Linked DNA regions of Lepisosteus oculatus. The protein of the gene in region 4 interacts with the protein of the main gene of each other region in a biochemical or structural test. Links are inferred from orthologs where the notes say so. Each region holds a gene or a part of one and is shown on either strand. Other genes may lie near its edges.

Region 1 (7,791 bases), on a different chromosome or scaffold from region 4:
ACGCCCGCAGCCTGCAGGAGCGCCTGGCCCAGAGCCTGGCGCCCTACGCCGAGGACCTGCGCGGCCGGCTGGACCCCTACGCCCAGGACCTGCGGGCCCAGCTCTCCTCCCTCTGGGACTCCTTCCAGAAGAGCTTCTAGATCGGATCGCCCCCCTCCACTGATCTCTCCCGCACCCTGGACCCGCGCACTTCCCGCCACACAGACCACCACCACCACCCCCGCTCGGAGGGTGCCGATGGTTTGCTCCGCTGGACGCACCCAGGCCTGCCCCTGGGGTCGGAGCGTACCATGGCCCGGGGAGGGGGTGTGTGAGCTGTCTTCAGGAGCCCGGCTGTAAGACGAGGAGGCGCCGAGCTTCCCCTTCCCACAATCCCTCTCTCCGCTGACCGTCCCCCATCACACAGCACAGCCTGGCTCGGGGTTCGAGCAGGGCAAGAGTGTGGGGGGTCTCCCCTGTGTGTCTTACTCTGTACTGTAACATTGTGCTGCTTTCCTCCTTAATTTATGCGAATAAAGAGTGAAAAAATGAGAAAACCCCAGTGTACTGTATGATCTTTTTCTTTTCTCAAAAGGTTTTTCTTTTTGTAACAAAAGCAAAAGAACGACCTTTTTTTGTAAGCAGAGTAACCCAAGCCCGGCCCACTACCCCCTCTCTTCCTCTGTTTTCACCTGTTTCTCCTCCCCAGTGTCCCCGTGCCTCTCTTTATCCTAGAGAAATTATCTAGAGCTGGGAGAGAGGATGGAGAGGGAGGAGAGAGAGGGAGAGAGAGTGGAGTTCAATCACAGACCAGGATAACACTGAATGGGACGAACACCCCATAGACACTCTGCGCATGGAGCTCTGTAAAAACAGCCTGTGTGCAAAGATAAACTCCTCACAGCGCATGCAGGACTAAATAAGGCCAATACCCAGTACTAACCAACTTACTCAAGACAGCTCTAGAATACTGGTTACCCCCGAGAGACAGTGACCAGAAATCTACCACCACCAGGCCCTGCTGAGCCCAGAGAAGAGCCCCTCAGCCAGCTGGTCCTGAGGCTCACGGACACCATCCAGGCCCAGGACAGCCCAGCTCCAGCAACACGAGCGAGGCTCAAGCACTTCACAGCACAAGCCAAACAACACTGCCTCACCCACTGGGACACACACACACACTGGAATGCTACAGAACCCTAAACACACAACACACACCAGGAGAATACCTGAGCAGTGTAAGAAACAGCAAGGAGAAACAGACCCTGAGGAAGGACATGCTCAGAGACCACAGCCTGGCCACAGAAACTGGACCTGACTGTACAGTGAGGAAAGGCTCTCAGTGACCACAGCCTGGACACTGACACTGGACACAGGCAGACCTGGCTGTCCAGAGAGGACAGGCTCACTGACCACAGCCTGGACACTGACACTGGACACAGGCAGACCTGGCTGTCCAGAGAGGACAGGCTCAGTGACCACAGCCTGGACACTGACACTGGACACAGGCAGACCTGGCTGTCGGCTCTTGGCCCAGTTGTGGGATCAGATGATCTGACATCCCCGAGTGCTCGGTGACGCACACCCATGCGACTGAGGAAGCTGAGAACGGTGTTGTCAGCAGTTCCCTCTCGGTGGCCTGGGACCTCGTGGTGCTGGCGCTCTGGTGGGGGGGCAGGGAGGGACGACGCCAGCGACTCCCGAGCACATGGGAGAGCCAGGGCTCGGTACTGTGCTGCCCTCGGAAACCCCCCTGCCTGCAGCCCCCCAACCAACAGGAAGCAAAGCTGAGAAACTCAGCATCTCCACATCTGTGTGTCAGAGTGTGGAAAAGCACAGCACCAAGCCCAGTGAGATCAGGGTAAAAGCACAGTACAGTGCTGTAAAGCCCAGTGAGATCAGGGTAAAAGCACAGTACAGTGCAGTAAATCACAGTGAGATCAGGGTAAAAGCACAGTACAGTGCAGTAAAGCCCAGTGAGATCGGGGTAAAAGCACAGCGCAGTGCAGTAAAGTCCAGTGAGATCAGGGTAAAAGCACAGCACAATGCAGTAAAGCCCAGTGAGATCAGGGTAAAAGCACAGTACAGCGCAGTGAAGCCCAGTGAGATCAGGATAAAAGCACAGTACAGTGCAGTAAAGCCCAGTGAGATCAGGGTGAAAGCACAGTACAGTGCTGTTAAGCCCAGTGAGATCAGGGTAAAAGCACAGTACAGTGCAGTAAATCACAGTGAGATCAGAGTAAAAGCACAGTACAGTGCTGTAAAGCCCAGTGAGATCAGGGTAAAAGCACATTACAGTGCAGTAAATCACAGTGAGATCAGAGTAAAAGCACAGTACAGTGCAGTAAAGCCCAGTGAGATCAGGGTAAAAGCACAGTACAGTGCAGTAAAGCCCAGTGAGATCAGGGTAAAAGCACAGTACAGTGCAGTAAAGCCCAGTAAGATCGGGGTAAAGGCACAGTGCAGTGCAGTAAATCCCAGTGAGATCAGGGTAAAAGCACAGTACAGTGCAGTAAATCCCAGTGAGATCAGGGTAAAACCACAGTACAGCGCAGTAAATCACAGTGAGATCACGGTAAAAGCACAGTACAGCGCAGTAAATCACGGTGAGATCAGGGTAAAAGCACAGTACAGCGGAGTAAATCACAGTGAGATCAAGGTAAAAGCACAGTACAGTGCAGTAAAGCCCAGTGAGATCAGGGTAAAAGCACAGTACAGTGCTGTAAATCACAGTGAGATCAGGGTAAAAGCACAGTACAGTGCAGTAAAGCCCAGTGAGATCAGGGTAAAAGCACAGTACAGTGCAGTAAATCACAGTGAGATCAGGGTAAAAGCACAGTACAGTGCAGTAAAGCCCAATGAGATCAGGGTAAAAGCACAGTACAGTGCAGTAAAGCCCAGTGAGATCAGGGTAAAAGCACAGTACAGTGCAGTAAAGCCCAGTGAGATCAGGGTAAAAGCACAGTACAGTGCAGTAAAGCCCAGTGAGATCAGGGTAAAAGCACAGTACAGTGCTGTAAATCACAGTGAGATCAGGGTAAAAGCACAGTACAGTGCAGTAAAGCCCAGTGAGATCAGGGCAAAAGCACAGTACAGTGCAGTGAAGCCCAGTGAGATCAGGGTAAAAGCACAGTACAGTGCAGTAAAGCCCAGTGAGATCAGGGTAAAAGCACAGTAAAGTGCTGTAAAGCCCAGTGAGATAATCCTTCTGTCTGATATCTCAGCTCTCAGCTCTGTCTCCGTCTCTCAGTTCAATTCTGAGCTCCACTGGCCTGCCTCATCCTCACACTCGTCACATCAGAGAGAAGTCACCACAGCAGACAACAGTGCAGAAGACACCTACAGTACCTACACAGCACAGCCAGCCACAGGACAGTGGGAAAAGAGAGCAAAGTCAGAGATCAGTCAGCAAGTATCCAGCGCCCGTGGCACAGACTGTCTCCTGGAGTCATGTCTTTACACAAAGAGCTGCGGGAGGGTGGAACAGACTGCCAAGCCGTGTTGTGGAAGGCAGTAACGTGGCGTCACTCAAGACACAGCTGGGGGGGATCGTCCGGGCAGGATGTGGAAGCCGATACTTGGGCTCCTGGGGAGAAACAGCTGGATGATGCTGGGATCAGTCAGCGAGCAGCAGGGCTGTGTCTGAGTGTCTGAGTGTAACCTCTCTCCTGTTGCTAGGCTCCGAGGTATGTGCCCTGTCCCCCCAGACGTCTCCCCCTCTGCCTGTACTGTGCCAGACGCTGCGCCCTCTCATTCTCCCTGGAGTTTGAGTTTTGGTTAATGGTTACAGTTAATGATGAATTCCTAAGAGGCGTCTTGGGAGCTGGGCTGCTTGACGCCGGTTCCCTCTCGCTCTCCCCGGGGGGGGTGGGTGGGGGGGCTGTCCTGTCTGCGCTCGGCGCGGCCCGATAAGATCAGAATGCGGGGCTCGCGGGTGAGCGCGTTATCGCTGCGCGCCGATAGCAGGAGCGCTGAGCGAGAGGCGGGCGGACCTCGGACCTCGGACCGCGGACCTCGGAGGGCGCCACGCCTCGCCGCACCTGGGCACCACGGGCTGCCGAGCTCGGCGCTGACCCCTGCCTGTCCCCGGACACGAGCGCATCCACACCCACCCCCACACACACACGCGCGCGCGCGCGCCCCGAGCGCCCGCCCGCTTTGGCACGAAGTAACCTCGCGAGGAACTTCATCACACACACACACACGCACACGCACATCCCACATCACACCCCACCCCACGCGTGTATAAAAAGGCGGTCCGCACACAGCAGAAAGTCACCGAGGAAGAGGCAAGGCGGGGAGCATCGATCCAGGTGAGACAGCCGGTCCTTTCTGTAGACGCTACACGCCGACCTCAGGTCCGAGTTGAGTGGGAGGTTTAACGTCTCCGCGATTGCTCGTGGAGCAGGGGCGATGTCAGCACCGCTCTGGCAGCGGGGTGATCAATTATAAGGCGCGCTTTGATTCTGAGACGGAGTTATGAAAGATCGATTTCGCTGTCTGACGCGCCGATGTGGCCCGGACGAACGAGCCGATAACTCGACGCGAGCGTGGGGTGTCCGGGCGTGGGGTGCTGTGGGACTCTGAGGACGCGCTGCTGTCCGAGTGGATCTGACTCGCTCCGGAGCTTAATCACGGGGAGGTGCGCGCAAACAGGGGGTAGAAACAGACCTGTTAACAGACAGAGTCACTTCTCTCTCCTCTCAGTCCTGCTCAGTTCAAGAAGTTTCATTGGCATCTACAATCAGTGTTGCCAAAGCAAAACTAATACAATAAACATGAAACATCTACAGCCATTTACAACACAGACACAGTCATACGATATTTACATATAGACATCTAGAGCAGTACTGGGAGACAGGCTCACTGGTCCTCAGGCTGGGACAGGAGATCACACACTGGGCTGCCAGTTCAACTGAGTTCCTTCTCCCTCTCCCAGTAGGATTGGGAGCTGTTGTGATTCTGGCAGGTGTGGGGAATTCTGGGATCAGATGTGTAAATTTGGGGAAGAATGTCTCTCTAATCCCAGAGAATCTGTCACAGTGCAGTAGGAAGTGCACCTCAGTCTCTGATTACCCTCGCTGGCAGTGGGACCACGGCCTGTCCTCTCTGGACAGCCAAGTCTGCCTGTGTCCTGTGTGTGTGTCCAGGCTGTGGTCACCGAGCCTATCTTCTCTGGACAGCCAGGTCTGCCTGTGTCCAGTGTCTATGGCCAGGCTGTGGTCACCGAGCCTGTCCTCTCTGGGCAGCCAGGTCTGCCTGTGTCCAGTGTGTGTGTCCAGGCTGTGGTCACCGAGCCTATCTTCTCTGGACAGCCAGGTCTGCCTGTGTCCAGTGTCTATGGCCAGGCTGTGGTCACTGAGCCTGTCCTCTCTGGGCAGTCAGGTCTGCCTGTGTCCAGTGTCAGTGTCCAGGCTGTGGTCACTGAGCCTGTACTTCGTCTCTCACTCTTCTCTCCATCCCTCTCCCATTCTCTCACTCCTGTTTCTCTATTTTCTAATTCTATCACTCTTCATCCCTCTCTCCCTCGGTCTCCCTGCTGTATCTGGAGCTACATTTGTGTTTCATTCTGCAGCTGCTGCACAAACCCTCCTGTGGAACCATGAGGACTCTGGTTGTGATTCTGGTGTTGGCTGTCATTGCAGGTAAGTGAGTCTCTGGCACAGTCGAGCCAGACTGGAGTGTCAGTGTGCTGGACTCCACAGGGACTAGAGGAGTTTAGAGCCTGTGACTGGGCTGTGTCAGTGTGCTGGACTCCACAGGGACTAGAAGAGTCTAGAGCCTGTGACTGGGCTGTGTCAGTGTGCTGGACTCCACAGGGACTAGAAGAGTCTAGAGCCCAGTGACTGGGCTGTGTCAGTGTGCTGGACTCCACAGGGACTAGAGGAGTTTAGAGCCTGTGACTGGGCTGTGTCAGTGTCCTGGACTCCACAGGGACTATAAGAGTCTAGAGCCTGTGACTGGGCTGTGTCAGTGTCCTGGACTCCACAGGGACTATAAGAGTCTAGAGCCTGTGACTGGGCTGTGTCAGTGTGCTGGACTCCACAGGGACTAGAGGAGTCTAGAGCCTGTGACTGGGCTGTGTCAGTGTGCTGGACTCCACAGGGACTAGAAGAGTTTAGAGCCCAGTGACTGGGCTGTGTCAGTGTGCTGGACTCCACAGGGACTAGAAGAGTCTAGAGCCCTGTGACTGGGCTGTGTCAGTGTGCTGGACTCCACAGGGACTAGAAGAGTCTAGAGTCCTGTGACTGCGCTGTGTCAGTGTGCTGGACTCCACAGGGACTAGAGGAGTCTAGATCGCTGTGATTGGGCTGTGTCAGTGTGCTGGACTCCACAGGGACTAGAAGAGTCTAGAGCCCAGTGACTGGGCTGTGTCAGTGTGCTGGACTCCACAGGGACTAGAAGAGTCTAGAGCCCAGTGACTGGGCTGTGTCAGTGTGCTGGACTCCACAGGGACTAGAAGAGTCTAGAGCCTGTTACTGGGCTGTGTCAGTGTTCTGGACTCCACAGGGACTAGAAGAGTCTAGAGCCTGTGACTGGGCTGTGTCAGTGTGCTGGACTCCACATGGACTAGAAGAGTCTAGAGCCTGTGACTGGGCTGTGTCAGTGTGCTGGACTCCACATGGACTAGAAGAGTCTAGAGCCCTGTGACTGGGCTGTGTCAGTGTGCTGGACTCCACAGGGACTAGAGGAGTCTAGATCGCTGTGATTGGGCTGTGTCAGTGTGCTGGACTCCACAGGGACTAGAAGAGTCTAGAGCCCAGTGACTGGGCTGTGTCAGTGTGCTGGACTCCACAGGGACTAGAAGAGTCTAGAGCCCAGTGACTGGGCTGTGTCAGTGTGCTGGACTCCACAGGGACTAGAAGAGTCTAGAGCCCAGTGACTGGGCTGTGTCAGTGTCCTGGACTCCACAGGGACTAGAAGAGTCTAGAGCCTGTGACTGGGCTGTGTCAGTGTGCTGGACTCCACAGGGACTAGAAGAGTCTAGAGCCCAGTGACTGGGCTGTGTCAGTGTGCTGGACTCCACAGGGACTAGAAGAGTCTAGAGCCTGTGACTGGGCTGTGTCAGTGTGCTGGACTCCACAGGGACTAGAAGAGTCTAGAGCCCAGTGACTGGGCTGTGTCAGTGTGCTGGACTCCACAAGGACTAGAAGAGTCTAGAGCCCAGTGACTGGGCTGTGTCAGTGTGCTGGACTCCACAGGGACTAGAAGAGTCTAGAGCCCAGTGACTGGGCTGTGTCAGTGTGCTGGACTCCACAGGGACTAGAAGAGTCTAGAGCCTGTGACTGGGCTGTGTCGGTTTGCTGGACTCCACATGGACTAGAAGAGTCTAGAGCCTGTGACTGGGCTGTGTCAGTGTGCTGGACTCCACAGGGACTAGAAGAGTCTAGAGCCTGTGACTGGGCTGTGTCAGTGTGCTGGACTCCAGAGGGACTAGAAGACACACAGACTCACTGACCTGTGTCCCCAGGCTGTCAGGCCCGTGCTGTGCCCAGTGAAGAGCCCAAGACGAAATGGGAGGAGATGGTGGACCAGTTCTGGCAGTATGTGGCTGACGTGAACACCAAGATGGATGGAGTTGTGGACAACCTAAAGAGCTCCCAGCTGACCCGTGAGCTGGAGTGAGTACAGCCTGCTGCAGCACCTCAACACCTGTGTGAGAAATCAGAGCAGGAAGACATTGCTAGGAAGTATGGAATAGAGGAACACAAATTTGCTATTTCTGTGTCATCACACTATGTAAGCAGAACTGATCAAAGAGACCCCTAATTCTGGAGGTGTCTGTCTATATCCGAGTCTCTATTTGTATCACAG
Region 2 (7,713 bases), on a different chromosome or scaffold from region 4:
ATATGAAAAACGTTTCGATTCAAAAAAAGAGAGAACAGGAAACGACCTCTCGCCCGGCTAATCACACAGCGCGCAGGCCTGGTTCTCGACCACCAGCGGCGGACGGGCTCTCGAACTGCTCGTGGACAAATATCGCGTGGGGAGTGGACAGTTCTGCGTTCACGGACGCGACGGGAGTTTACGGATTCAGCTGTGTTCCTAAATAAACAATCATGAGCATGATACTTTAAATATTACTGCGGACTAACCCGTCCCCTGTGTGTGAAAACGCACATTTCCTGTAGTGCTGTACCTACTGTGTACCTCTGGTTAAAAACGTCCACGCACGACAGCGTGTTCAGACCTGCCAATACTCGGTTGTGAACTTGAATCTGGATGGTTAGGTTTCAATCGTCGCTGTAATACGGAAGCGCATCGCTCTCATCAACGGAAAACACCTATTTCATGTGTTGTCTCTGGGACATTATCGCGTACCTTTTGTGATAATCGTGCGATAGCACTATTGTCAGAGAATACCTGAATTATCATTAGTTGACTGGTAGTTTTCGGCAGTGGAATCGATCGCACGGTACACTTGATTAAAGGATTAGTGTGAGCGCCCTCAAGGTTATAAGGGCTGTGGAATTGTAACGTCATGAACCCCAGTCGAAAGAAAAGTCCATATACCTTTTGCAGCTCTGGACACCGTCAGTAACACTAGACACACAGTTCCTGCTGAACTATCTGTAACTTCTATGTGCTGTGTCATTGCACAATGTAATAAGCTGTTCATACACTCAAATTATCATTGGTATCTCATAATTCACGATAATTTACTATTTTGTAATTACGAGATGGTAGTTTCTCGAAATTACGAGATATAATGTACGATGTCGTAATTACGAGATCATTTTCTCGAAATTATGAGATAATGTACAATCTCATAATTACTAGATAGGTGGAAATCCTAAATCACGAGAAACCGCTTTTTTTCCCCCTGTGATGGCAGCAATGCGCTTCTGTGCCACGATAAAGCCCTGTTTCAGATAGAAAGAATCATCTTCCCACGGTTCGTCCGATTCCCACGGCAGGCAGGTCGAAACCACACCTACAGTATTACCAGTTACCTCCCCGCGTGTTCAAGGACACGGTCCACCCACAGACCCCGAGGAACTGGGTCCGAGTGCCGTCGCCAGCCCGGCAGCGGAGCTGAAGACACGGGAAAAAGGGAGGGAGAGAGAGAGAGCGGCGGGAAGGGAGAGACGGATCTGGCAGGAGGGGAGAGAACTGTGGATGAGTAAAGCTTTAGTCACCATAGCCCGGCAACCAGAAACTCTCCTCTCCGGCAATTACAAGGCGGAAGAGACGGGAGGCCGAAATTACTGGCCAAGACCCAGCACTGCGATGACTTTTGACCCCGCTAATTCAAGGAAAGAGCTCATTTTCTTCCTCAGCTGCAAGGCGATACCTTGTATTAAAAGAAATAACAATAATACACAGTCCAGCTGTTTCGTAACTCAGGGTTCGTGTTCCATATATTTTCCCATTTCCTGGATAAGAGGTGCAACCGGCGCGGCAGGAGGAATAACCAGTTTTGAATCCCAGGGTTTTTTATTACCGGCTGTATGAGGTTTGACACGTATTGCCTTCATCCTACAGCCACCTTTCCAGGACAAGGCCGTGATAAACACGGCAAATACCGTATAGCCTTGCAGGTCTGAAGCGAAGGAGAGCAGAAGAAATCTCCGGACGCGGAGAGACTTTCTGTCGCCCCGGCCGGGCAAAGTAAAACCGGTCGGAATCTGTCGGAGCCTGTGGTTCCGTTTCCCTGCCCTGATTAAACTGTGAGCCGCGGAGCTTGAACCACTGTACGTTTAGCGTTGTTAAGACCGACCGGGTCGCATCTGCCGCGTAGCCCGAGGTCACGCAAACAGCGGCGGAGAGCGACACCCCCGAGGCAGCGCAACACACATCCCAGGGGCTCGGCTAATGCGCCAGCGAGCGGTACACCACCTCTTGCTCTAATCTCCTGGTTCAGATCCAGCAAGGGGCTGCCGGTAACAATAGAGTTCTTATTGCAGCGGATTCCTAAAGCACTGTACCCTCCTGTATAAAAGCGGGACACCCCCGCGCTGTGGAGAGACAAAGGATTTATTCAGCCCGTATAATTCCTGCCCAGATACTGTAGATGCTCGTGCGTGTCTTTCTCAGCACCTTTTGCGAGACAAAACCCCTCACGTCACTGAATCTAAGGTAACGTTTCACGAACGTTTTTTTTTTTCAGTGCAGATACGGAATTGCTGTACTCTTCTGTTTTCCGCCTGCACTGTCTGGGAGCCCTCGTTAAAAAAAAACAGGGAATCTGGAGACGAAGGGAGGACAACGTCTTATCTAAGAGTCGAAATCTCTGGGTGCGCTCATGAAATCAGAGTTTGCAGTGAGATTCTGATCGTGGTTAATCGACGCGGAGTCGCAGAGGACTGCAGAGCATCCAGGCTTCAGAAACGTCGCGGATGCGGCATTCAGAATCGATAACAACTTCATCGCAAGCTTTTCGCTACAGTCGGGCAAAGAAAACGAATAGGGCAGTCTGCGCTTTGGCAGTAACGCTGTGAATTCGTAGTTAAAACTTTGCCGTCTCGCGTTTTTCTTCATCATTTCCAGTTTCACACAAGCTGCAGTAGGAATTAGCCTGAAATAACTACACGATTACTAAAAACCTGCAATCGCAAACGTGTAATTGCCGGACGCATGCTGATAAGGAGTGATACTGCTTTATTCAAAGTATTACAAAAAGTAATATATATTTTAAATTAAGTGTCCCCCAAAGATGCAGCAGTATTATCGATTTCACCAGTAATAAACATCTGCAGTTACTAAGAAAAGAAGAACATGAGATGTTTTTAATGCAGCTGTTACCACTGTGCGGAAAAACAGGTGCGCTCTTGTACAGCAGCTATAGTGTAAACTATATAGTATAGTATATGGATACTGTATACTCTACTGTATACTATATATACTGTATAGATACGACTTGTTATCACAAGAAGGTCGTTCGTCGCTTTGCTGCAAGTAATGGTTTTAGTAAAAGTTTATAGCGCTGCACTTGTTAAAGGGTGCCAAACGGACAACTCACCTTTGAAACCAAGGTCTCCCTTCAGTAGTCTGGCTGTGTACTCGATGGGCACGGAAGCGATCGCAGTGCGGTTCGAGTTCTGTCGGGTTCGGTTAAGTCCAGTCGCTGTGTTTGCAGGCTCGCTGACACCAGGCTGCTCTGCCTGCCTGCAGCGCGGAGCCCCTATTTATGCGCGCCGAGGTCTCGGTGAAGATGATCCGGCAGCTCTGAAGGGGAGGTGACGGGCACCTCCCGCCTCTCTCCAGGCGGGGCTCATCTGGGGCACCAGAGAGACGGATAGGGTGAAGTCGCCGGCTGGCACCGGGCCTGACCCGCACATTGGATGGATTCAGGATGGGGGGTGAGTCAGAGATAGGAATAGTTATACAAACCGATTGTCATCAATTCGGTTCCGCTCCAGATTAAGATTTTTCATAAAGTAGTTGGAAATGACGTGCCGTGACCTCAACTCCGTTGACAGTTTTAAGTGTGTGCTGTGTTGGTTTTATAATCATTTGTTTAGCGCCTTTTACAATGGCGGGCGCGCGTGTGTATACAGTATATATTTTATAGGTTCGTTTAATGACTCGAAGGGTTTTACTCGCGTTCGGCTGTGCAATGTTTCGCCCCCGAACACCCGTGGTTTTATAAGAAAGAAAATGAGTTGTCATGGTCCCGACAGGAAAAAAAAATACAATTCAAAGGAGATTGTTTACCTCTGAGATCTCCTTCGAGAAGGAATGTGACCCCCCTGGCGGATGATATACTCCAGAAAGAGTCCTGTTACAGAGACGGACGTTTTCTAAAGAGGAGAGTAGATGAAGCAGGTCGCAGGGCGGCCTCTAAGAGTTGTTTGGAGTCTCCAATTGCGTGTTTTCGCAGCATTTATAGAAAACATCATCATCATGAATGAGTGAATAAGATACTGAAGATGAATAAATAAGGTACTTGGTTACATAAATCAGCACTTAAATAATTCCCAGTTTTGCTTCTGGACGTGCTGGACACGTATGAATAACCTCAGAAGAAAACAGAACTGAGTCCTGTAACATCTCGATAATCACTGCTACTCTACATTAGAAACATCAAAAATAATAATAGGATTGATTTACCGCCTGTACTCCAACTGCTGTGCATAGTGATTCCTTTTCTATTTCAGTGGCAACGGCTCCTGCTGCAGTCACTAATACTGCTATACTGTACTGCAACTCGTACTTCTGCTACAGTCACTAATACTGCTATACTATACTGCAACTCGTACTTCTGCTACAGTCCCTAATACTTCTATACAGTACTGCAACTCGTACTTCTGCTACAGTCACTAATACTGCTATACTATACTGCAACTCGTACTTCTGCTACAGTCACTAATACTGCTATACTATACTGCAACTCGTACTTCTGCTACAGTCACTAATACTGCTATACTATACTGCAACTCGTACTTCTGCTACAGTCACTAATACTGCTATACTCCTGCTCCTGCAGCTCTTACTTTTGGTGCAGTCACTAATAGGGCTATACTACTGCTCCTCTGACTCGTACTTCTGCAACAGCCACTAATACTGCTATACTACTGCTCCTGCAGCTCTTACTTTTGGTGCAGTCACTAATAGGGCTATACTACTGCTCCTGCAACTCTTACTTTTGCTACAGTCACTAATACTGCTATACTACTGCTCCTCTAACTCGTACTTCTGCAACAGCCACTAATAAAGCTATACTACTGCTCCTGCAGCTCTTATTTTTGCTACAGTCACTAATAAAGCTATACTACTGCTCCTGCAGCTCTTACTTTTGCTACAGTCACTAATACTGCTATACTCCTGCTCCTGCAGCTCTTACTTTTGCTACAGTCACTAATAAAGCTATACTACTGCTCCTGCAGCTCTTACTTTTGCTACAGTCACTAATAAAGCTATACTACTGCTCCTGCAGCTCTTACTTTTGCTACAGTCACTAATACTGCTATACTCCTGCTCCTGCAGCTCTTACTTTTGCTACAGTCACTAATAAAGCTATACTACTGCTCCTGCAGCTCTTACTTTTGCTACAGTCACTAATACTGCTATACTACTGCTCTTGCAGCTCTTACTTTTGCTAAAGTCTTTAATACTGCTGTACTCCTGCTCCTGCAACTCATACTTCTTCTACAGTCATTAATACTGTTATACTACTACTCCTGCAACTCTTACTTCTGCTACAGACACTAATAAAGCTACTGTATATTACTGCTTCTGCTACAGTCATTAATACTGCTCTACTACTACTCTTGCAACTCGTACTTCTGCAACAGACACTAATACAGCTATACAATTATTAGCTATTAAGCTAAGAATTTATTTATGTGTGTTTGTATATATTAATGTGCATTTTCATACTAAAGGTGTTGGTCTGTCAGTACAGAAGGGATGAAAATGATTTGGATAACAGAGTCTGGTGGAATCCGAGAGAGCTAGAATACACGAAGCAGTCACCGAAATGCCTCCGCAGAGCTTCTTCATAGATTTGTCGTTTTCATTATGCAGCATATCATATAGGACCAACAATGAGAATGATTAAGTCACTTCAGACACTCTATTTTAAAAGGAACAACACTGTATTCTTTTTGTTACTTTTTTCTTTGTTTTACCAGTGTCCGTTCCTTTTCTCTCCATGAGGTTTAACTTTTATTTTACTGCATTTCTGGCATTCTCTTTGAATTTCTCAACAGACGGAACTGCCCCTTTGTAATCTTCAGTAAAAGGAATCTTCCGGTCTGACAAGGTGCCGCCTGACATCATACAGTGGCGACGTAATAACAAAACAAGCGCAGCCCTGGGCTCGAGCTCGCAGGAATTCCGACTGTACAGAGGACCGCGCGAGCCTTCACGATCACGTGATTTATCGCGTACTTCTGACGCAGGTCAGGAAACCCCAATTTGCGATTAGCCAGAACAATTAACCAAGTCAAGCTTATATTGTTACAACGTATATATCGCCCGTGAAATAAACTGGAACGAGATCACCCCCTGTAACACCCTGTGAAAACTGCATATCGACGCCTGATAAGCAAATAAATACAATTAAAGAATGGTAATAATTGAAAATAGTAATATTAGTTTTAAATTCGGACTCTCCTCAGTCATTAAGTATTATTAATTAAAAGAGATACTGGCTATCTCAACAACAGAGACAGACAACAGAGTTGTGTTTCTCTACAGTCATGCCACTTTGTGAAACACATGCACAATAAATAAACACGTTTAAGAACCACCTCCCTCTGCACTTCCATGACCTGAGAGTGACATCATGTCTTCTTAATTGAAATTGAATCCAGTATGCGAAACTGACAGAATTTGCAAGTGGACCGTAAAAGACAATATTTGGAGAATTTTCTTAGCAACCCGCGGCGTTAACATCTCATAATGTGGGCGTTTTCAGATGAAATGCTACTCATTTATGACTATTTCTGGTGAGATGATGGATGAAAGTACGGTTTGCGCCGTATCTCGATCTAATCAGTGCGTTTCGCCGGCAGATACCATAGGAGTCACCGTGTGACGTCACTGTTTTAGTAACCTTTATGGAGCGCCCGTGCGCCTGATGACCGAACGGATTTCTCGAACCGGATCCATGACAGCACTCTGGCACTCAAGCCCATAACATGCTGTCCGCGTGTGTCATGCTGGCTCCGGCCGCCCCGGGCCCGGCAGCGCTGTCTGTCAGCAGCCCGGCTGCAAGGCACTGCGACGCGGGCTTCACAGAGGACAGGCGCTCCGCGGGCTTGTCCGCCACTGCGCCTGGTGGAGTCAGGCGCAAGACCGCGTTAGGAAGATATGGGACAGCTCCGACAAGTGCAAAGCGTTCTTGAAAATCATTACTGACTGTTCCCCGTGAGCTGTTGTTTTACCCATGCCCCTCGATCTGTATCCATATAGGATCTGTATTTAAAAGGGTTGGTTTTGTCTATAGCATCTGTATTTAAAAGAGTGGATATCTATATACTGTAGGATGTGTACTTAAAATGAGGGAATATATACAGCATATAGGATCTGTACTTAAAATGAGTGGGTATGTACAGTATACATACTGTATATGTTTTTAAAGTGAGTGGATATGTATATAGAATCTTTGTTTAAAATGAGAGAATGTGTATATATGATCTGTATTTAAAAGCGAATGGATATGTAGATAGGACCTGTATTTCAATTAGTGGATATCTGAATTTAAAATGAGTGGATATGTAGATCGGATCTGTGTTTAAATGAGTAGATTTGTGAGTTAACGTCCAAAGTGTGAAGGCAGTTTTGTGTCCCCGAAGTCAGCTGAAAATTTAGATCTAATTGTGCTCTGGTTTCCTCCACTGGTCCGAAGACACACTGGCTTCTGGGAAAAGTCACGCTGGTCTGAGAGTGTGTGTGCCCTGTGATGGATTGGCGTCCTGTGCAGGGTATATCCCACCTTGTACCCATTTCACACTGATGGCTGTAATGCCTTTAATTTGCAATGTACTGTTGTTCCAGCTGGGGCTGTGAAAGACACCCTGTTACACCATGCTCAAGCACAACACCAGGCACAAAACAGAGCAGACTCCAACACAGCATCCACTGGGACAACATTCACATGTCTTCCTGTAA
Region 3 (8,292 bases), on a different chromosome or scaffold from region 4:
TACAGAATCACTTGTAAATAACTTACAGTTCATTATAAAAATATACAGACCTCTCCTATAGTGTCCATTCTTGTGATATTACTTATACATACTGATTTTTAAATAAGTGATTGAAACATGAATGCATAAACTGAAAGTGTAAGAGTTTAGAAAAAAACATTAACAACAAATATGCTAGTTTTGTAAGAATTTCAATCCCTAATCTCAATATTTGGTAGAAGCATCTTTAGCAGCAACAACAGCCATGAGTCTTGTAGGTAAGTATCTTCCAATTTTGAAAACTGTCTTGGTCCAATTTTTGCCCATTTGTCTTGACAGATTTATTCAGGTTTTCTTAAGCTGCTATTAAGTTGTTTAGAGATTGCTTATGGACAGCAGTTTTTAAGTCTGCACAGATTTTCAGTAGGATTCAAGTCAAGACTTTAATTGAGGCACTCAAGAACATTCATTTTCTTTTTCTTAAGACACTCTAGTATAGCCGTGCTGTAGATCATTGTCTTGCTGAAAGGTGAATTTCCATCAGAGTTTTAAGTATTTAGCCAACTGAAACATGTTTTCCTTTAGTATTTGCCTGTACTTTACTCCAACCATTTTTTCTTCAATCCTAACAAGCTTTCAAGTCCCTACAGAAGTTAATCATGTCATTAACATGATAATACCACCATCATATTTGACTGTAGGAATGGTGTTTACTAGGAGATGTGTTGTGTTGTTGATACTTGATATTTATTTATTTCACAAAAAGTTCCAATCTGGTCTCATCTGACCACAGCACCTTTTACTACTGTTCTTTTTGCAGGATCTTGCAGGTTCTTTGTTGCAAAACTATAGAATTTAGCTGTCAGGTTTGCTCTCACTGGAACGAGAGCTAGATGAGTGATTTAGAGTTTGCCATGGGAGTCGGCCACACTTCCACTCACCTGTCACTCAGTGCCGGTTACCAAGGAAACACATTCCAACAAGAACCTCTATCACCATGGGGCAAATTGCATCCAGACCCACATCAAGTGGTGCAGAATATTTAAGGTCTGCTTGGACAGTACTCACGGCTCTGGTATAGAGTTTAGCTCTGACCTCAGCTTTGTTTCCTCGCTCTGTTCCTGAGTTACTTTGTGTTTATTATTTTCCTGGATTCTTGACTCTAGCTTCAACCTGATCAATTCTGTGGATTTGTCCCTTTGTGCTTCTGTGATTTCCAGTGCTATGAACTATGCCTGCTTGTCTCAATTATGATTGTGGAATTCCATTTATGCTTTCACTGTCTCTCTAGCTTTGTACCATTTACAATCTGACCACAGTGTAATTGTCCGCACCATATTTGCCTGCACTTCTCCTTATGCACTTTTCTCTCTTTCGCCCAGTGCATGGGTTCATCTTACGTCTCTCACAGCTGCTGGTTAATTCCACCTTAAGCAGTGGACATGACAAGTATATCAGAGCCCTGAGTAATGTCTGACCTTGGATATTCTGCATCACCTGATGCAGATGTGGATTTAAATTGCCCACAGGTGATACAAGTTGCCTGTCAGAATCTGTTTCTGTTGTTACCAGTACTGAGTGACAGGTGAGTGGAAGTTTGGCCGACCACCGTCTCAAACTCTAGATCACTCCACAGTGTTCCAGTGAAAGCAAGCATATTTTCTCCCATTTCAGCTATTGATTTCTGTAGTTCTTTCAAAGCTGTCATTGGTAGTGTTGTGCTATCACAGTGGTTTGCCTAACCTAATTCCACTGTGCTCAGCTACTTAGTTTAGAGGGAAAGCCTGATCAATTCAGTATCTAAGTGGTAAAAGGTACTGTCAGTTTCTCAGTGGCTGAGTAGACTTTTCTCAGAGGGATATTCAGAGACTTCTATATTTCTGTACCCTTTACTGTGTTTTACAAAAACTTTATCCCTGACTTGCTTTAAAAACTCTTTAGTCTCCATGGTTGAGTCTTTGCTTTAAATTCACTACCTAACCAAGAATCTTCACAGAGCCTGATGTTTTTATTCTGAAATTATGAGTTATGTGCAAACATTATCATACACGTCAGATGTCACTCAACTAAATATGCTCTTTAATTTGGTTACAAATTAATTTAGGTTTGACACAACAATGATTTGTATTCTAATGCAGTTATGGCTTTTTCTATTTCTCTTTCGTATTAATTAGATATTTTATTTCTCTCTGTCATGACGACGTCCTTCGGCTAGAGATTGCCCTGGAAAACCATCATATTCTAACAAGGGCTCATGGTTTTCCAGGGGTTTGTTGCTCTGACCAGATCATGTTTTTGTGATCCGTGTTAATTAGCTCATTATTCAATTCCCACTTTTTTATATAAAGCCAAGGGGCTGCTCTTCATTTTTCCACATGCACGTTCTCTTGCACTTCTGTCTCACCCCACATTTGTGTCTTGACTGCACTTACAGTATGTTGGTGCCTCATGAACGTCCTGAAGTCTGTTTTTCTTTTTTTTAGGGCTCTTGACACAATGAGGTGACCCCTCAAACAATAATTATTTCCTGCCTCGTATATGACTACACCACCTAGCAATACAAACAGGAGGCTAGGACCGCTCTACTAAACCAGAGGTTCTATTCATATCCCAGAATCACCAATGCACACACAAACCAGCAACAAACATTAGTATCATATAAGTTCCCTTTTTATTTTCTAAGCACAACAACATTTACTATTACTCCAAGACCCAAAGAAAACAGCATTCTCAGCAACAAAAAGGTACTTCCAAGCATCATAATGATTTCCTGAGTGTCTGCTGTCCTTTCAGATGATGAGGAGAGGGTGTTAGAAGGTCTAAATGGTACAGAGAAGTACAGCAACACATAGAAGAGGGATGCCACACAGTCCAATTTCCCCAGTATACATCTGGGCTATATCGGGAGTCCTCCTGTAGGCTGTAGTTCCCCTTTGTTCATTAACTACTCACCAGACAGGTTTCTTTGCTCCTTTCTCTCAAGTATTAAAATGTCTCTACACAGTACCTCCATTCCTCTGCTTAGAGCTGCCTCTGTTCAAGCTCAGAACTTTGTATCCCTTCTGTTTGCCATCTCCCTCCCCCACCCCCGGCCTCAAGTCGGCCCTTCTATCTGTCCAGCTCCTTTCCAAGGAAGCTCACAATTACCCTGCATCACCTGAGGCGGTAGTCTCTATTCTAGCCAGTACCTTTTAACTTCACTTTTTCTTTTCACTGCTCATCACCTCAACCCTCAAATTTTCCGATCTGCACCCCTGGCCTTTGAGGGCTGCCTTCTAAGCCAGTTCAGTTCCTTTTCAGGGATCCAGTATTGGGGTCCCTTCCATACCCAAGACTCCCTCCAAAGGGCTTTAATCAGTAGCCTTTCTTTTCAGCAGGGATGTGGTTAGCCTGGCTTCTCCTAGGATCGATGATTTCTTCCATTACTAACTGACCTGGGCTGATTAGCCCCATTGGCCAGTAATTAATTCTCATTATCATCTTTTACTTTTCAGTCTCCGGTCTCCTGTACTTGGGTTCTGACAAATCACCACCCATGCAGCTGTATCCAGCTACTGCATTACATGCTCTTTTAATTTTTGGTTTGAAATTGTGGAGTGTGTTAAGTATACAACAAATATTAAGAACTTCTAAAAGTAACTTGACTGCAAGTTTAAAGGTAATAAATTTTAGACTGAACAAGGGCCTGAATATTTTGTTGACACACTGTAGTTTGAAGTAATGATGGTTTTGATTTTGAAGTTCTTCACTGGAAAGTAAAAATTTGTCACACCAGGTCTATGAAACTGGTTGGACACCTTCAAATGTCATATCTAAACTTTTCTGTTGGCAATGTCAAGTGTTTATTTAGAGACACTCTTGTAAACAATCAGTAATGTGAAGCAAAGGACTTTCCATGGAGTGATCTTTCTACTGTCTTTTTACAAAGCACATGTGAACACTGTTACTGTAACAAAGTTCGTGCCAGAGGTGATGAGCAAGGAATTAAAGGATCTGACATGTTATATGTAAGATACCATACCCCCCAATATCCGCAGAACTAATGTAAAAAAAAATCACACCTCTGATTATATGCCAACTAATGTATTAACATGGTTATTTCTTATGTAACACAATAAACCTCTATGAGCATTTGCTCTCTGAATGTTCTAGCAGTCATCCTGCATACCTATTTGAACCATTGCATTGCAAAAAATATTATTGGCAGGTATTCGAAGACCTAACTTGTGGCAAGATGTTTGAATCATAATTGCTTATGCTGATTATGTAAATAGATTCCCAGTGATATAAACCAAATGGTCACTCCTGCTTGAGTTATTAATGCTGCATTATGCAAACTGAATTTAATGTAACAATTGCACGGTGCTGTCTACCATATTTACTTGATGGTCCAGAATGATTTTCTTCTCTAAATACACATTTGAGGGTGAATTAATGAGTAGGGAAAGAAAGAAAACGATATGATATACATGCATTATGCTCTAAATACATTACAGGAATGTGTGGTATTCTATGGATTATATATTATATATTTATTCCTTTTTAACAATGCAGTTCTGATGGGGCTGTTTAGTTGAGTGCTTAGCAGGAGACTGATAAGGACGTACTGCCTCTGGAAATCAATTCATCCATGCCTTACTCCTCCTTAAGCCTGTGAAAATCCTCATTGCCAAGGATACCGGGGAAGGAGGGGTGGAGGGTATGGGAGAGAGGGGAGGGGTGGAGGGATCTGCTATTAGGAGGAATGTGGTAGTGATGTATAAGGTATGAACGATGTGGCCTGCAGATTGCTGCTGCCGCTATTGCTGTGACTGTAGGTGTTTGCTGAAGCTGGATTGGAGCTGCTGAGGATTTTTCCTACTCGGATACCACTTTGCAAGGCAGGCTTCCCAAAAAGAAGGGGGTCTACCTTCTCCAAACAGAAAGGCTTAGCCTCTGGAGTGGGACAAGTCAAAGGGAATAGGACTCTTCAGGTGGGAGTCACGCCAGAGGGAGTGAGGGGGTCTGTATGGGGGACAGCTGCACACCAGCTCAAGGTAAGAGAATTTGTCTATCACATTGCTTTTCATTGCATTGCAGGAGTGCAGGGAGGGAAACCCTGGGCGTTCCAGTCAGTAAAATGTCATTGAGAAGGCTATTGCAGGAGTACCTTGGAACACAGCTGCATTAGGCATCTGTCTCTGTGAGTGGTGATTTGTCCCACTTCAGCCTTATTAATTCCAAGTTTTTTGTGTTTGTGTTTTTTTAGAGGTTTATGTTATGGAATGGAAAATGCAATGGGTCTGCTTGGATACAGACAGTAGACAGTTTGTCATCAATTCCAGCTCTACTGCTGCTGTACTCCTCCTCTGTATGTGTAGTACTTCGGGATATGATCACATACAGGGGCATCAAAACCTTAGACTAGCTTCACTAAACTATAAAATGTACTTTAATTCATTTTCCTCATGTCTCTCATATCTTTATTAAATTGATTTTCTAATTCCATAAAGAGGATTAAGATAAATATTGAAGTACTACATTGATTATTCAAGACAAGCTCTCCATCAATAAAATTGCAGTCCATCTTGGTGTTTAAATATCAACCTTTACTGTATGTCAGTCTTTGTCTTATCAATCTCTCTACAGGTGTATGCATTTGCTTAATACACCCCTGTTACAAGTATCACAGATCTTGGATGTCTTTTTTCAGTTAGTGGCTAATAATAAGATCTAAATGGAGTTTAAAGGGGTGAAACGCCCTAAGTATGTATGTATTTGTACAAGGATAAATGCAAAAGATTACAGTTCTTTTCCATTGAGGCAAACAGCTCAAAAGGAATTCTGTGTGAGATGGAATCAAAATGCAAATAGTTATTCCTGTAAAAGTTTAACTCTTATTTCTGAAAGAGCACATTTAAAAGGGGCTTGTCATTATATTGTACCTGCTGTGAAGCTTTAGTTCAATCCTGAAGTGTGACAGCACTGTCTGTGCCCCATTTTTGCATGTGTGTCTGTGTCAGTCAGCAAAGGGCTGTAAGGAAAGTAATATAACTGGAGTACGTGCTCTAGACCAGTTCTTTGGCTAAACTGCCAGTCATAGTATGTCCTTTAAACTTGCTGTGTGTTAAAATTATCCTCTTTTTCTACCTCACTGATTGTACAAGGAATTAGACGACATTCTACATAAGCATATGTACTGTATTACTGATTGAAAAACAATGGAGAAGAGGAAGTCAAAGAGGAAGTCAAACAGACTACAGCTTTTAAGGGTTTGTCAGATTTTGTTTTATATATGTGCCTTACTACTGCAGACATCCTCTTTAGGTTTTACAACTTGGGTCACTTGTATTTTTCAGAGAGACAGTACACTGCTGATTTTTGGAATTATTTGAAGTGGAACTGCAGTGTGCTGTGTTTTGCAAGTGCCTTTGGTGCTGCTATTATGCATCAGCTGTCTGAAATATTGCTCAACTGCCTGCAATTCAAAAGACACATAAGGGACGCATTGTACTACATCACAATGGAAATTGCAAGAAATATTCACAGCCCAAAATAAATATGATACATGTACTGTACTTCTCTCCCTTGTTTAATGATTTGGAATATTTCACTTCTAAAACTGAATGCATGTACAGTATATGTAGTGGCCTGACTGTTTTTATACAACAACAAAAATTCTTAAGCTAAGATATACCTGTATAATCGGTGTGAAATATGGTTAGGTCACTCAGTTTTACTGACATTATTACTATTAAAATATGATAAAATCCTGCATATAACGCCTTCTTTTTTATTGATTTATTTCTATTTTCACTACTGCACTTCATTCCTTTGTATGGCAGCCTTCAAGCTGGTTTACGTTTTGCAAGGCAACATACAGTAGTTCAGAAGCATTATTTATATATTTATTTTTCTATTAATGTGCTAATTTAGATGTGTATTCTGAATACAGATCAGCAGCTGATGTTTAGTGACTGAACCACATTTACGACAGAGGCTGATACTAATATACTAAAAAGTGAATTACCTGATTCATGCTGAAAAATACAATGTTTAGCTGTTGATGTAATGCATGTCCATTACATTGGAACAGATTGAGATGTTCTGCAAAAATATACTGTTGTATTAGTTAAGGATTAAAATTAAAATTAATTCATCATATATATATATATTTCCAGTAGAGAAAACTCTACAGGAAATCCCTTAGTAATTCAACGGTTCTTTAGTACGTTGAATCTTTATCAGATAGATGCTCACAGAAAGCATTTCTTTATGTTGGTATTACATGTAATCACTGTGAATGGTATATTAGAGAGCACTCAATCCAGTTCTTGTGTTTTGGTATAGGTTATGTATTTTTGTATATTAAAGAAAATCATTAACTTTTCATCAATTTTTCATTTTTGTTTAATTAAATTGAGGTATTGTCTTAAGAAATGAAAACAAAGCTTTTTAAAATTAGTCTATTTGCACTTTATCTCATACAATATCTGGATTACTCTCATTTATACACATGTATTTGAACAGTAGACAACAAAAAATATAGTTAAACACACTGTTCACTTCCTAACACCTGTTATTCATGGAAAATGATTAAATGTCTTTGTCAACTGAAGATTGTTGTTTAATGTCCACTGAAATTATATGGCTGTCACGCCTTCAACGTCCAGAGGACACCTACTCTGTCCTGTTCCTAGTTTCCCTGTGCTTTTCTTGTCCTTCCAGTGTGTCCTTGTGTGGGGCTATATATTTCCGAGTCACCCTTTGCTCTTCGCTTAGCATTGAGGGTTCAGATGTCTTGAGACCCGCCTAGCACCAGTGCATCTCCTCTGCAGCCTGGGGGCATAGGTTTCTACTGGACATTATCTGAGCCCCTAAGCACGGACTAACCTCTTTGTTGCCCCTTTTGCCGCTATGCATAGGGTCTTTATTGCTCTCCTGGCCATTCCATGGCATGCCTTTCCGACATTCGTGACAGAATGCTGAGCCATACTTTGAAACCGCATCTATTTTTGTTTTCCCGCATCGCTTTGGGATTTTTTTTTTCAGTTCTTCTATTCTAGTCGCGGAATGCTACTCCCGACATACATGCGTGTGAGAGGTATGCCTTCCAGACATTCGGGTACGAATACCTGGCTTTCCTCGGGTTGTCACTCCCGGCATCCGTAATTGAATGTTGAGCTGGCTGTTCTATTCTTGTTGCTGGATGCCACTCCCCACATCCGTGCCTGTGAGTGGGTCATTCAGCAGTATGCCTTCCGACATCCATGTTCAAATACCTGGCTTTCCACAGGAAGTCACTCAAGGCATCCATTCCTTTCAGCTAAATGA
Region 4 (8,138 bases):
ACATTGGTTGACAGCTGTTCTCGCACGGCCCCGACTCAGCGTGTTCTCTCGTGTGCAGCGTGTGGAGCTCAGCGTTCACCCTTGATGCAGAAACCCTTCATGCTCACGAATCGCTCGGGTTGGGGGTGGAATGCAAAGACAACCTGGGCTGGGAAGAGACGGAGACTGACATCAACAGGCATCTGAGATGCTGGATTGACAGCATGGGAATGAGTGTAATTACTCTCACGTCTACTCCCAAAGCCTGCCTGCCAAACCAGGATTCGAGCTGAGTTAGAAACTGCTGTTACTTCAGACGCAAGGGTTTGTTAGCCTTCACTGCACCATTTCTGTCTCGGTAGCCTCCCCCTGTCTTGCAACTCAGACCAGCCCGAGATCTTCTTTTCCCCGAAGCCTCTGCAGCGCAGTGGCTGTCAGTGTGCACGTTGGTTTCGAGAACACGGTGGACGTTTGCTTAGACAAGTTCACGCCTCTCTGTGAAACCGAGGAATGTAACGCCCTAGCCGGCCACACGTAATAATAATAATTCCTTACACTTATATGGCGCTTTAGAAGTAATGGGGAATCCCACTACCACCACCAATGTGCAGCCCCACCTGGATGATGTGACAGCAGCCATAGTGAGCCAGTCCACTCACCACAACTCAGCTATCAGTGGGGAGGAGAACAGAGTGATGAAGTCAGTTCAGGGATGGGGATCATTAGGAGGCCATGATTGGTAAAGGCCAATGGGAAATTTCCCATTTGAGCAGGATGCCAGGGCAACACCCCTACTCTTTTTTTAAGAAACGCCCTGGAATTTTTAATGACCACAGAGAGTCAGGAGGAGAGTTTTATGTCTCATTTGAAGGATGGCACCTTTTTACAGTATAGTGTCCCCATCACTACACTGAGGCATTAGAACCCACACAGACTGCAGATTGAGGGCCCCTTGCAGGCCCCACTAACACCTCTTCCAGCACCAACCTTAGACTCCCATCCAGGTACTGGCCAGGCTCACACCAGCTGAGCTTCAGTCTTAAATTGCAGGGTGATATGGCTGCTGGCTATGGTAACAGTGAGCCAAGACCAGCCCTCTGTTCACCCAGGGTCAACTTCCCAGATCTGATGCAGAGATGCCCAACCTCCAATGCTCTTTGATCCCACAGATTGTCCTCCTGTCGGCTTTGGAGACTCTTTAAAAAACAGCAGCACTACTTCCGGGATACTGCCAGGAGATATTTGTGGCTGTCTCCCAGTGTGTGTGTTTTGAAAGGGTGTATTTAAGTAGGACACCGCTTATTAAGTGCACTGTTGTGGGTGGGTAAAGCACGCAGTCTCAAATTGAAGACTGGTGGACATTTCAGAAACGGGAGAAAAACAAATAAACATTGTGACACATACCCTTATGCTAAAAGGTTATCAGCAGAGAAACATCCTGCTGTGTGCATCCTGTGATACTCTAATGTAGTAATGCAGCAGTTAAAAAATGTAAAACACTAGGTACTGAAAGCCAGGCGAACTTGTATCTGAAATTACCATTGAAATTACTATTTGTGATAAAATCTCTAGAGCCTGATGGTATTCTGCCAGTTGTTCTAAAGGAAACAAGCTATGTTATTCATATACAACTCTTTTAACGGGCACTCAAGACAGGGATAATGTCTGTTGAATTGAAACAGCAAAAGTCAGCCCCATGTACTATTTTGGAAACAAGGACAAAAGTGGAAACTACAGAACTACAGGAAAATGCTTTTAAAATTGAGAACAGCAGGCACTTCTTTACGCCGAGGGCAGTGGGAGTCTGGGACTTGCTGCCCAGGCATATTGCTGAAGCTGTTACCCTGGCTTCTTTAAGAAATGGCAGGAGGAGATCCTTGGATCAGTTAGGCACTAGTAAAAACAATGAGGTAGAAGCACAAAAAGGCAAACTCTTGTCTGTAACCTTTTTATGTTTTAATGCTCTCATAATATTTACCAAGATACAATTCCAGGAGAGTGGTGCCCTCAATTGCTTGGGGTGATATGCACTGCAGAGACAGCAGTGTGGGACAAATCCACTGCAGAGACAGCAGTGTGGGAGACATTCACTGCAGAGACAGCAGTGTGGGACAAATCCACTGTAGAGACAGCAGTGTGGGAGACATCCACTGCAGAGACAGCAGTGTGGGAAAAATCCACTGCAGAGACAGCAGTGTGGGAGAAATCCACCGTAGAGACAGCAGTGTGGGAGACATCCACTGCAGAGACAGCAGTGTGGGAGACATTCACTGCAGAGACAGCAGTGTGGGAGACATCCACTGTAGAGACAGCGGTGTGGGAGACATCCACTGCAGAGACAGCACTGTGGGAGACATCCACTGTAGAGACAGCGGTGTGGGAGACATCTACTGTAGAGACAGCGGTGCCCTGTAGAGACAGCAGTGTGGGAGACATCCACTGTAGAGACAGTAGTATGGGACAAATATACTGCAGAGACAGCAGTGTGGGAGAAATTCACTGTAGAGACAGCAGTGTGGGAGAACTCCACTTTAGAGACAGTAGTGTGGGACAACTACACTGTAGAGACAGCAGTGTGGGAGACATCCACCGCAGAGACAGCAGTGTGGGACAAATCCACTGCAGAGACAGCAGTGTGGGACAAATCCACTGCAGAGACAGCAGTGTGGGAGACATCCACTATAGAGACAGCAGTGTGGGAGAAATACACTGTAGAGACAGCAGTGTGGGAGACATCCACCGCAGAGACAGCAGTGTGGGACAAATCCACTGCAGAGACAGCAGTGTGGGAGAAATCCACTGCAGAGACAGCAGTGTGGGACAAATCCACTGCAGAGACAGCACTGTGGGAGACATCCACTATAGAGACAGCAGTGTGGGAGAAATACACTGTAGAGAGAGCAGTGTGGGAGAAATACACTGTAGAGACAGCAGTGTGGGAGACATCCACTGCAGAGACAGCAGTGTGGGAGAAATACACTGTAGAGACAGCAGTGTGGGAGAAATACACTGTAGAGACAGCAGTGTGGGAGACATCCACTGTAGAGACAGCAGTGTGGGAGAACTCCACTGTAGAGACAGCAGTGTGGGAGACATCCACTGTAGAGACAGCAGTGTGGGACAACTACACTGTAGAGACAGCAGTGTGGGAGACATCCACCGCAGAGACAGCAGTGTGGGAGACATCCACTGCAGAGACAGCAGTGTGGGAGACATCCACTGCAGAGACAGCAGTGTGGGACAACTACACTGTAGAGACAGCAGTGTGGGAGACATCCACCGCAGAGACAGCAGTGTGGGACAAATCCACTGCAGAGACAGCAGTGTGGGAGAAATTCTCTGCAGAGACAGCAGTGTGGGACAAATCCACTGCAGAGACAGCAGTGTGGGAGAAATACACTGTAGAGACAGCGGTGTGGGAGAAATACACTGTAGATAGAGCAGTGTGGGAGAAATACACTGTAGAGACAGCAGTGTGGGAGACATCCACTGCAGAGACAGCAGTGTGGGAGACATCCACTGCAGAGACAGCAGTGCCCTGTAGAGACAGCAGTGTGGGAGACATTCACTGTAGAGACAGCAGTGTGGGAGACATCCACTGCAGAGACAGCAGTGCCCTGTAGAGACAGCAGTGTGGGAGACATTCACTGTAGAGACAGCGGTGTGGGAGACATCCACTGTAGAGACAGTAGTGTGGGAGAAATCCACTTAAATCCATGTGTGACGGTATTTCTTTTTGGGACCCTAACATTTCTATCTGGGGTCCCCCAGTAAACTAGTACTACCCTTGGGAATCTTGCACTTTACCTTCCTGACCTACTGAGAGAAAAGAGCATTTTCTATTACCACTATCCCATGTCCAGCATCATCAAAGGACAGGCAACAGCAGACATAGGAGCAGCCCTGCCCACACGAGGGCCAAAGGCCATAGTTTCTCTGAAAGTAAGATTTCTTAATCTTTTGGAACAAATTGATAATATCAGTTGCTGATGAGCAAGTCTTCTTAATGTCTGCCTGAGACTGTGAAAGACTTTTTTCTTTGCTTTTTTGATTGATCAGCTCAGACGCTGGTCAGATAAGACACCCCGGTCCAAAGGAGGACATTCTGAAATCCCATGAAGCACGAGGCAGTGAAATATTCTTCCCAGTATTCCCGCTGATGAGCAGGATATACAGAGAGATCTGAGCTGTACAGTTGACATTTCTGTGCAGCACCCTCTGAATTAACGTGTCTGCATACCTGCACTGGGCTATTTGAGGGCTGATCAGCACACGAACCAGGCACTGTTCTTTCACAAGAATTAAGGCACTTCTGCTTACATTTGCTGAATGTCTTCAATTTCTAAGCAGGAATAAGCGAGCCGTACAGAATACAAACTCGTAAAGCACAAACCAAAATCCAACACTCATAAAATTCGTGTCGTGCTATTTTGTCCACCGTTGCAAAGTCACTTTAAACGAGTGAAAACGGAAGGAGAAATGACAGAAGGTTTGTTATGCATTAGACTCGCGCCGTGAAAGTCTCTCCCTCCCTGTGCCCCTTTCACTTCATGAAACTAAACCCATTTTGGCTCCAGTCCACGGGGCCGGCCTCTAACAGCTATGCCTGAAGCCGCCAGATCCAAAATGGGGGCAATTAGAGAGGCAGTTTCAAAAGGTTCTTGTGCGCTCGATGAAGAAAAAGGTAAAAAAAAAACCCAGCACGCCGACCCCGGCGCGTGCGCACACGGCGAGTGCCGCGTAGCTGCTCCTGGCTTCGGAATACCATTGGAGCGAGTGACGTCATCCCCTGCCCGCTGGGCTGTGTGGCTGCAGCGCCGCTCTTCTCCGCTCAATCCGTAACCACCAGCAACAGAGGCGGCGGTGGGGTGGTGAGGGGAGAGGAGCTTTTTAATTTTTTTTTTCCTCCTGCAGACAATATCATCAACATTACAGTCAGTGAGACAGAAAACAAAAACAGCCGATATCCATAGATCAGATAACGTTTCCTTTTTATTTTTCATGCGCACGATTTGGTCACTTTACTGACCACCTCAGGTCCTTTTTTTTTTTCTACGTAGATGTGGCTGCAAATCAATAAGGCTACATGATAACCACAAGACGAGCCGTAGCCTCACGGGGCTGAAGAAGCCTCGTTTGCTTTTTCAGATCAAAAAACGGCATTTAAAAAAAAAAATCTGAATATTGTCGTCGCACCTTTATTTCGAGTGTGCGTGCCGGAGGACGCCCGGAGAATCTCGTCGGGGATTCGAGTCCGGACTACAAAACCGCGGTTCGGGAAGAACCGGAGTCCCAGCTGTGTGTTTCTTGAAATCTTTTTTCGGTTTTCTGTTAATCTGCCCTTTTTTTTTTTGCACAACCATGGTGTCTCACAAGGCAGAGGCTCTGGCCACGGTGTTGCTTGTCCTGGGAATTTTGCACAGTCTGGAGGTTACGGCTCCCGCCAGAGCCGTCGATGGTAAGAAGCCGTGATTTATTAAAAACGCTGCACCTTTCCAGACAGATGTACGCGTCTGTTTATCCGCTGCTGCCGTGGTGAACGCATTTCCGAAGTGGAAACGACGCTTTTATGTTCAGCTCTCGCTCGGTTTACCTGAATTGTCGTGCGTGCCTCGCAGCATTTCGTGAAATTGTGTGTTCCTAATGCGGGCGATTAGGGGATGGACAGTTGTTTTTTCCGCCTGTAAAAGAGACCAGGCAACGTTTTCCTCTGTGAGCCAGGTCACACGCACAGGCATCTGCCGTTAGCTCGGCTACCTGCATGCTTGTCATAAGTCCGGGTAAACGTGTGTTTTGTGTGCCTTTCCGAGAGTGAAACAAACCGTGCTCACGGGACCCCAGAACCCGTTTTTGCATGGCTTGAGATGTTGTTCTTAGAGGTAAACCGTCTCAATATACGGCTATCAGTTGGAAACAAAAGGCGGGTTAAGTGGATTTTTCTGCCGTGTGATTGCAGGCGGGGGAGGTCTCCAGAAAATGCATCAACGTGTTTTTGTTACATCTCCGCTGCTTCTCTCGCCTCAAACACAACAATGTAACATTCGCATGCACGGTTTTTCATCCTCACTGGTAGGGAATGTGAGGCGCTCTCCTGATTTTGTACCTAGCGAGAGCGTATTTCCTTGTAGCCCCCGTTTTTTTAAAATAAATTGCTTGTATAAACAGCGCCATAGAATGCAATGGGCCTGCTCCCCCTGTCTGATTAAGTAACCACAGCACACGGCTTTCTCCTGCGATCAACAGATCTCTGATGGTTTCGTGCCAGTCCTGAAATGCTTTTTTAAAAACACTTTCTCCCCCCTTTTTCGCGAGACGGCGCTAGGTGGGTTACAGTTTTCCCACCCAAAACGAAAAGGGCGCTTTTGGGAAAAGTCAAGTGCAAAGTCTCATAATAAAAAAAGTACGATCCTACTTGGATGCAGATTTTGAGGAGTGGGGAATACAACAGCACTGATTCAGAGACTGAAGGCGCAGGGGGCGGCAGGAGAGATTACGTGTGTAGTTGTGTAGCTGCCCGAGCGGTGACTGCCGTCGGAAACTTGTGCAGCTCCCGACTGCACGAGGCGAGAGAACGCGTGTTGCTGTGTGTGTTGACACAGTCGGTTTGGGGCTCCGCTCCACTCCCGCGCTGATGGTTAATTCATAGCGTTCTTCTTACTGCCTTTGCTCACCAACCCCCCTCCTCCTCCTCCTCCTCCGATTTTGTGAGGGGCTCGGCGGGGAGAGGCAGTCCGGTGAGACCAGGGGGCCGCCGGAGTGTGAACGTTGCGGTTGTGCGTGTCAGGGGGACTCGACTCGCAGGGAGCTGCTCGGCTCGGCAGGGTCCTGTGAAATGCTGTGCAACAGGGAGAGGAGATTTGAAGCGGTGCCCGCCTTTTAAACTGAAGTGTGTGTTGTGTGTGTGTGGGGGCTGTAGCATGCTGTGTTCCCGATGAAATGCGTTTATTCCCGAATAACGAAAAGCGTTCAAAAGTTGGCGATGCTGAATTTTGCACGTACGGTAGAATCGCGGTATTCGTATGAGCCAGGAAAGACAACCAAACGGGCTACTTCACAAACCTATCATTGCGCACAACTGTTGTTCATTATTTTTTAACTGGCTTGTTGCAGGTCAGCAACTGGCTCGTTCTTGCTTCGGACACTCTGCAGCACCTAAAGCACATCTGGAGCCAGAGTTACGAAACTCGTCCCACTGCCAGGCAGGCAGGAGGGTATTGAAAAAGCTGAATTGATTTCAGATAGCGTCGCAGATTCCGAGCTCTGGAAACAATTATGCGCGCGTCGCTCTGGGTACGTTTAGTAATGAAGGCGTGGGGCGTGTGTAGGGGAAGTGTTCGCTTAAGAAACATTTCTTTTCCTCTGTCGGCAAGTCGCGATATTGTCTGAACTTCCGAGTGAAGAGCAGCCCCCCTCCCCTCTCAGCTATTTTAATGACAATATCCCCACAATCCCTGCCATGTAATTAGCCTCACGATACCTCGTAATAAGCTACTCTAGAAACAGAAAAATACAAAGCGTTTTCTTTTGGCTTAAAGACAGGGCGCGCACAGCTGTTGAGACTTTTTCGTCCTTTCAGTTCCGACTAATGAGGTCTGAGTAACGTTCTGGAAATTCTTGGAAGCGATGCCTGTCGCTGTTCTAAGGTTGCAGGAGAGAGAATGGTATTTCCATATTTTGCTCCAAGACGTTAAGACGTATTTTGTCTGAGACATGGGGCAGGTCCTTTATTATTTTTAGTTTTTTTAAGGCGTTCAAAAATAGTGCTTGGGTACCTTTTATAGTACAAAATGTGCTGAAGCTACAGTTGCTCAACCTTAGGCCCTCGCTGCTTGCAGTCCATATTAAAGTGGAATTAATTTCGCTTCGCGTAGCCTGCCATTCATTATGCAGTGCGTTTCTGTTCCACACACTGGCCACCCCTTCAAAAATATCTTGAATAGTTTTCTAAAATGCAGAAATGAGACTTTTTTTTGAGGTAAAAAACAACAACCTGGGATTGTTTGTGACAGCTGTGAAGTCAGTGTATTACTACCTTGATTCTGTGTGGACTCCAACTACCTTAACAGTTTCATAGCAGGAGACTAAAGACACGCTGGAAGAGCCTGTTTTGTGTTTTTCGGTGGTCCTCTCAGCATGCTGTGCGGATGAGAGCTTGAGGG

Evidence for each region.
Region 1: the proteins of low-density lipoprotein receptor-related protein 1 (region 4) and apoeb form a complex in vitro, tested with the Homo sapiens proteins (2 studies listed by IntAct, with this or other methods). The link is inferred for Lepisosteus oculatus from reciprocal best matches to the Homo sapiens genes LRP1 and APOE.
Region 2: the proteins of low-density lipoprotein receptor-related protein 1 (region 4) and plat form a complex in vitro, tested with the Homo sapiens proteins (2 studies listed by BioGRID). The link is inferred for Lepisosteus oculatus from reciprocal best matches to the Homo sapiens genes LRP1 and PLAT.
Region 3: the proteins of low-density lipoprotein receptor-related protein 1 (region 4) and disabled homolog 1 form a complex in vitro, tested with the Homo sapiens proteins (2 studies listed by BioGRID). The link is inferred for Lepisosteus oculatus from reciprocal best matches to the Homo sapiens genes LRP1 and DAB1.

The regions. Positions count from the first base shown.
Region 1 is NC_090722.1:10,418,986-10,426,776, reverse strand, and holds the start of apoeb (apolipoprotein Eb), read left to right. Parts: upstream 1-4,182; 5' UTR 4,183-4,289; intron 4,290-5,551; 5' UTR 5,552-5,578; coding exon 5,579-5,621; intron 5,622-7,447; coding exon 7,448-7,598; exon of another isoform or gene 7,599-7,629; intron 7,630-7,791. Other genes in the region: apolipoprotein A-IV-like, read left to right, coding at 1-140. UniProt on the Homo sapiens protein: APOE is an apolipoprotein, a protein associating with lipid particles, that mainly functions in lipoprotein-mediated lipid transport between organs via the plasma and interstitial fluids.
Region 2 is NC_090697.1:65,894,811-65,902,523, reverse strand, and holds the start of plat (tissue-type plasminogen activator), read right to left. Parts: upstream 3,258-7,713; 5' UTR 3,116-3,257; intron 1-3,115. UniProt on the Homo sapiens protein: Converts the abundant, but inactive, zymogen plasminogen to plasmin by hydrolyzing a single Arg-Val bond in plasminogen.
Region 3 is NC_090704.1:17,826,823-17,835,114, reverse strand, and holds the start of disabled homolog 1, read left to right. Parts: upstream 1-4,742; 5' UTR 4,743-5,015; intron 5,016-8,292. UniProt on the Homo sapiens protein: Signaling adapter of the reelin-mediated signaling pathway, which regulates the migration and differentiation of postmitotic neurons during brain development.
Region 4 is NC_090696.1:18,807,141-18,815,278, reverse strand, and holds the start of low-density lipoprotein receptor-related protein 1, read left to right. Parts: upstream 1-4,802; 5' UTR 4,803-5,340; coding exon 5,341-5,437; intron 5,438-8,138. UniProt on the Homo sapiens protein: Endocytic receptor involved in endocytosis and in phagocytosis of apoptotic cells. Required for early embryonic development. Involved in cellular lipid homeostasis.